Saccharomyces cerevisiae S288C: one gene and its partner. The protein of the gene in region 2 purifies or fractionates together with the protein of the main gene of each other region. This does not show direct contact. Each region holds a gene or a part of one and is shown on either strand. Other genes may lie near its edges.

Region 1 (3,412 bases), on a different chromosome or scaffold from region 2:
GTGATACTATGTGGTTGTTTGCCATTAGTTGCACATTGCAATAAAAGGGTCGTCAAAAAAAGACGAGCAGCATAGTATCTGTAGCATTATTAATATGTCTAGGGGATGGCGTACGTTATGCTTCTCAGACGGTTTTCTAAGAAAAGCTTTGTCCCTTGCGGTGACCGCACAAAATAAAAAGGGGAGGCTAGCAATTCACTCATAGCACCTTGTCTATTAGAAATGGAATGCATACTGATTGTCCTTGCGCTTAATTGTCTATTGTAAATTGTAATCGCATGGTCATCTTTTAGTAGCATCTCTATTACTTCGTATTATGGTCAGTAAATGATTGACCAAGTGCAAGCGGAATCTTTCGTTGCTGGACTCAATTGGTAATGTCTATATACACTATTGCAAAGTAGTTAAGCCTTGCCATTTTCATTTCTCTCTTACTTTTTAGACCAAATATTTAGCTATTTACTTTGACCGATTTTGCTCATTTTTCGGGTCATGGCATAATGAATAAAAACAACAATTGGTTAACAAAACGATAAAGGGCAATTGACGCTAAGAATAGAAACTTTTAAATACCGTTTGTACGTATGTAAACATAGGTTCCAGATGCATGCTCGAAATACATAATAAACTTACACGGGCGGCACGACTTTACTTAGTACGTTTTTCACTACGAGAGATTCCAGGAAAAGGGGATTCTCAAACTCATTAACCTCCTCACACTTAATCTTCGCAAGTTTCTCTAGCATTTCGTCCACCAAGTTGGGGTCGCTACCGTACAATAAGGAACTATCCATGGAGGAACGCTGAACCAATTCCAAGTGCATGGGGAAGTACCACCTGGACGCCTCTTTGACATGTGAAGGTGACACAAACATCTTGCCGCTATGTAGACCAATTAATCTAGACAATAACACCACGTCGTCCAATGAATTTGTATATACCCCGCCGGCTTTGGCGTTATACGTCAATCTATGCGTTCGCAAATGGACCATGATATCGAGAATATACCGTCTTACAGTGGACCCCACAAATACATCGTTCAGATTTGCCTCTTCATTTAATATGATCGACCTCTTGCTCTCTGGCTCCTGCTTCTCTTCCTCAGCCATACCAATGCTATTATTGGCTCTTGTATTAATGCTAGACTCAGTTGAACTTTCAAAATCCAAATATGGGGGTGCACATGCAAACCAGAATTTGTGTTTGAGCCAAGCGCCCATACGGAAAGACGTGGGCAGGAAGATGCGAGTTTTGGGAGCTGGTTTACCTGCTTCATCCCCATCCTTAGCGGCGCCTGAAGGCTGCACGGGATTATTCCAATGAACCACTCCTATAAATATACGTGTTGACTGTGCCTTCTCAATCGCCACTGTGCAATCTCTCATAATTTTTACTAATTTCGCTTGGTCTGGCTGTAAAAGAGAATTTATGTCTGGAATGATAACAATCTCAAATTCCTTAACATGTGTAGTTGCTAACGAGTCCAAGCTTGCAGTTGTTGAGTTCAGAACCGTGACCTTTATTCCTCCGCCCGGATAAGCGTCATTGATTGCCCTCTTCAGTTGTATATCACAAGTACTTGGCATCGAAGAGGCTAATTTTTCCTTTGAGACGCTGTCTCTATACATACATAGAAAGCTCTTTTTAGCTGTAACAGAAAACTTCAAACATGTCTGAAAATCCGGCAGATTATGATCGCCCATTCCTATTTTTGCCACATCCAATCAATAATTTTGCAGCTCCGATTTTGCAGGTGTTGCTGTTCAATGGAAGTAATCGTTGTTATAAAGGAGCACATCACCAAGTCCTCTAAGGCTTAAAGGTTTGTCGTTATGCACGTAAAAGATGAAATTTTTTTATGGCTAGATGAGCTCATCGCGATTTGAAGAAAAAGAGTAAAGAAAACAATGCTAAGAAACTACAATAAGAGCAAGTTGCATATCATCGAATAATACTAGTGGGGTTTTCTAGTTCGTTACAGCCAACAACAGACAAAAGATATGGCTAAACTTGTACATGATGTTCAGAAAAAGCAGCATAGAGAACGTTCTCAGCTAACTAGCCGTTCCAGATATGGGTTTTTAGAAAAGCATAAAGACTATGTGAAACGTGCTCAAGACTTCCACAGGAAGCAGTCCACTTTGAAAGTCCTCAGAGAAAAAGCAAAAGAGAGAAATCCAGATGAATACTACCATGCTATGCATTCAAGGAAGACAGATGCAAAAGGACTGCTGATCAGCTCACGTCACGGTGACGAAGAAGACGAATCGCTTTCCATGGATCAAGTTAAATTACTCAAAACGCAAGATAGTAATTATGTGAGGACGCTGAGGCAAATAGAGCTGAAAAAGCTGGAGAAAGGAGCGAAACAGTTGATGTTCAAAAGCAGTGGGAATCATACAATATTCGTCGATTCCCGAGAGAAGATGAACGAATTCACCCCAGAGAAGTTTTTCAATACCACCTCCGAGATGGTGAATAGATCTGAAAATAGATTAACTAAGGACCAATTAGCCCAAGATATTTCAAACAATAGGAACGCTTCATCAATAATGCCAAAGGAATCATTAGACAAAAAGAAATTGAAAAAGTTCAAGCAAGTCAAGCAGCACTTACAGAGGGAAACTCAATTGAAACAGGTCCAACAAAGAATGGATGCTCAAAGAGAATTGTTGAAGAAGGGTTCCAAGAAAAAAATCGTAGACTCTTCAGGAAAAATTTCATTTAAATGGAAGAAACAACGGAAACGTTAGATTTTTACCATCTATATAGTATATATAAGTGAATCAGGCAGACGTTCCGTAATCCTTCTTTTCATGTTTTATAGGATTACGTTTATAAAAAGTATTCACTTTTCTTAAGTGTCTTTTGCGCCATCAAAAAAAAAAGGATTTTGAGGCACCGGAAAAAAAAGAACCCCTCTCCGAATGGGAGTATTTAGGACAAGATTTGTAAAGTGCTCCCTTTTTGAGCAATACTACAGATCTATAATGGGGAACAAACTCATACACGATGGACAAGTATTTGAATTCATTTGTTGACCACCTTTCAGAGTGGTCATCTCGTGCCTTTAGGAACAATTCATCAAGCGCTAACCAAAGTGCGTCGAACAAGGAATTAGAACAAGTTTTTGAACAGATCAATGCTATAGTTGAAAACCACAATAACAAATTAACCACTGCCTTTGATAAGATATCATATCGCGTTGCTCACAAGATTACACACTTGGTGGAAAGCCATTCTTTAGTATTCAACTACGCCACTTTAGTTCTCATCGCAAGTGCTTTGGTCGTTATTGGCTCATTTACGTCTATTTCTTCTATTCCATTTACAGCTCTACCTCCTACGAGAGAACACTCATTGTTTGATCCTACAGATTTTGATGTGGACCACGACTGTCATGTTATCTACC
Region 2 (3,759 bases):
ACTTCAGAGATCTTGGAGATAGTGCACTTGCCATGGCGTCCGGAATCCCTACGGTGAAGCAGTTTGACAAGTGCGAAGAACTTAAGGGCCAGTCTGCATGGACCACCCAAGGGATTTGGAAATGTCTTGTCCCAAGTAAGGCTATCCCCCCTCTACCACAATTGGACTTCCTCTTACCTCTGGAGGAGATCAAATCTGACAAGTCGCACTCTCATGGGTTGTTCTTCAATGATTTCAACCTCTTTTTGAAGTGGAGGTCGCACATGAATAGACTACAAAAACAAAGAATCAAGACTAGGAGCACTGCCGTAGAGCCTCTGGCTAGAACTCCAGAAGACCTCATGTTGAATTGGGACGACTTGCATCTGGGCAACGATGCTGAATATGCTTCTGCAGATGGATCCAAGAAAATTGTTGGAAGGGCACAGTCCATTAGTACCACGAAGGATTCCAATGATGCAAAACCCAGCACCGTCAAAACTGAAAAAATCTACTTTGACGATGGCACGGTAGACATTACTACCACCACTACCTCCAAGGGTTCCAGTCCCCAGGTGAAGCATAAAGTGGTGAGTGTTGACGAAGACAATTAGGACATATTTTCGTTTCCTTTTTTTACTCATATCTTACACAATATGCCTTGTATATATCGCACGATTATGACCTTGCGCGTGTGGAAAACATGCGACTGCTAAGGGGAGATCCACACACACACACACAAAAGATCAATACACATTTTTGACAATATATAGCATCAATAAAATACATATAAGCGATTCACATAGTTCAATATGAAGGTTGTTAAGGAATTTAGTGTCTGTGGTGGCAGATTGATCAAGTTGTCACATAACTCGAACTCTACCAAGACCAGCATGAACGTCAATATCTATTTGCCTAAGCACTATTACGCCCAAGATTTTCCAAGAAATAAGCGTATCCCAACTGTGTTTTACCTTTCTGGCTTGACGTGCACGCCAGACAACGCCTCTGAGAAGGCTTTTTGGCAGTTTCAAGCTGACAAGTACGGATTTGCAATAGTCTTTCCGGATACGTCCCCACGTGGTGACGAAGTAGCCAATGATCCTGAGGGCTCCTGGGATTTTGGACAGGGCGCCGGATTCTATCTAAATGCCACCCAAGAACCATACGCCCAACATTACCAGATGTACGACTACATTCACAAAGAACTCCCACAAACATTAGATTCTCATTTTAACAAGAACGGTGACGTAAAGCTGGACTTCTTGGACAATGTTGCCATCACAGGCCATTCGATGGGGGGATATGGTGCAATTTGTGGGTATTTGAAGGGCTATTCCGGAAAGAGATACAAATCTTGTTCTGCCTTCGCCCCTATCGTGAACCCTTCCAACGTTCCCTGGGGTCAAAAAGCGTTTAAAGGTTATCTGGGCGAAGAAAAAGCCCAGTGGGAAGCGTACGACCCATGTTTATTAATCAAGAATATTAGACATGTGGGCGACGACAGAATTTTGATCCATGTAGGAGACTCCGATCCCTTTTTGGAAGAACACTTGAAACCGGAATTACTACTTGAGGCGGTGAAAGCCACTTCATGGCAGGACTACGTGGAAATAAAAAAAGTTCACGGCTTTGATCACTCCTATTACTTTGTCAGCACTTTCGTTCCAGAACATGCTGAATTTCATGCGCGAAACTTGGGTTTGATTTGAGAGGCATCGCATTTCATTATGGTAATTTTTATGACTTTTCTATGTACATATTTAGTGAAATATACGTCCGTAGAAAAAAATGGCCAAACATAGTTATCCTTTCAAAGGTTATTCGCAGTAGATTTTATGTCACCTGTAACTTCCATTACTATTGCTATTATGTGGTTAATTGGCATCACATCCGACGAATTTAATAATATGAAATGAAAAAAACGAAAAATAAAAAAATTTCACCTCATCTCATCGATCACTCTGGTCCTGTTGTGGTATCGTTCTTGAAAGTGTATATCAGCCTACATTAGTGCGACAATGACAATGGCAACAACCGCAATGAATGTTAGCGTACCTCCACCAGATGAAGAAGAACAGTTACTAGCCAAATTTGTATTCGGTGATACAACAGATTTACAAGAAAATCTCGCTAAATTTAATGCCGATTTCATTTTCAATGAACAAGAAATGGATGTTGAAGACCAGGAGGATGAGGGATCTGAATCAGATAACAGTGAAGAAGATGAAGCGCAGAACGGTGAATTAGACCATGTTAACAACGATCAGTTATTTTTTGTGGACGATGGTGGTAACGAAGATAGTCAAGATAAGAATGAAGATACCATGGACGTGGATGACGAAGATGACTCTTCAAGCGATGATTATTCTGAGGACTCTGAAGAAGCTGCTTGGATAGATTCGGATGATGAAAAAATTAAAGTGCCTATTCTTGTTACCAATAAGACAAAGAAATTAAGAACCTCCTATAACGAGTCCAAAATCAACGGTGTTCATTACATCAACAGATTGAGATCTCAGTTTGAAAAGATATATCCAAGGCCCAAATGGGTGGACGATGAATCTGATTCTGAATTAGATGACGAAGAAGACGATGAAGAAGAAGGCTCTAATAATGTTATTAATGGAGATATTAATGCTCTAACGAAGATCCTGTCTACTACTTACAATTATAAAGACACTTTATCGAATTCCAAACTATTACCCCCTAAGAAACTTGACATTGTGCGTCTTAAAGATGCAAATGCATCACACCCGTCTCATTCCGCCATACAATCTCTTTCATTCCATCCTTCTAAGCCTCTACTGTTAACGGGTGGGTATGATAAGACCTTAAGAATATATCATATTGACGGGAAAACGAACCATCTAGTGACAAGTTTGCACCTGGTTGGGTCTCCAATACAAACATGTACTTTCTATACTTCTCTATCAAACCAAAATCAACAAAATATATTCACCGCCGGTAGAAGAAGATATATGCATTCCTGGGACTTATCCTTAGAAAATTTAACTCATTCACAGACTGCCAAAATCGAAAAATTTTCCAGATTGTATGGACATGAGTCCACTCAAAGATCATTTGAGAATTTCAAAGTTGCACATTTGCAGAATTCACAAACAAATTCTGTCCATGGAATTGTCCTTTTACAGGGTAATAATGGTTGGATTAACATTTTACATTCCACTTCCGGACTATGGTTAATGGGCTGCAAGATAGAAGGTGTGATAACGGATTTCTGTATCGATTATCAACCTATTTCACGTGGTAAGTTTAGGACCATTTTAATTGCTGTAAACGCGTATGGTGAAGTGTGGGAATTTGACTTGAATAAGAATGGCCATGTTATAAGAAGATGGAAAGACCAAGGTGGCGTGGGTATAACAAAAATCCAAGTTGGTGGTGGGACAACAACTACTTGTCCGGCTCTTCAAATAAGTAAGATAAAGCAAAATAGGTGGCTTGCGGTAGGTAGTGAGAGTGGATTTGTTAATCTTTACGATAGAAATAATGCTATGACCTCGTCGACCCCTACACCTGTCGCCGCCTTGGACCAGCTAACAACTACCATTTCTAATCTACAATTTTCCCCTGATGGTCAAATACTGTGCATGGCATCCCGTGCAGTCAAGGATGCTTTGAGACTAGTTCATCTGCCTTCTTGTAGCGTGTTCAGCAACTGGCCTACCAGCGGGACGCCTTTGGGTAAAGTTACCAGTGTCGCATTTTCGCCATCTGGTGGGCTACTGGCCGTGGGTAACGAACAAGGTAAAGTGA

Evidence for each region. The genes of interacting proteins can lie anywhere in the genome.
Region 1: the proteins of UTP18 (region 2) and UTP11 purify together in Saccharomyces cerevisiae (affinity purification with mass spectrometry, with the first as the bait; 2 studies listed by BioGRID). This does not show direct contact.

Annotation. Positions count from the first base shown.
Region 1 is NC_001143.9:255,061-258,472, reverse strand, and holds UTP11 (rRNA-processing protein UTP11), read left to right. Parts: upstream 1-2,000; coding exon 2,001-2,753; downstream 2,754-3,412. Other genes in the region: MTC2 (Mtc2p), read right to left, coding at 630-1,703; YPF1 (aspartic endopeptidase), read left to right, coding at 3,013-3,412. UniProt on the Saccharomyces cerevisiae protein: Involved in nucleolar processing of pre-18S ribosomal RNA.
Region 2 is NC_001142.9:310,948-314,706, reverse strand, and holds the start of UTP18 (Utp18p), read left to right. Parts: upstream 1-2,000; coding exon 2,001-3,759. Other genes in the region: MPM1 (Mpm1p), read left to right, coding at 1-593; YJL068C (S-formylglutathione hydrolase), read left to right, coding at 792-1,691. UniProt on the Saccharomyces cerevisiae protein: Involved in nucleolar processing of pre-18S ribosomal RNA and ribosome assembly.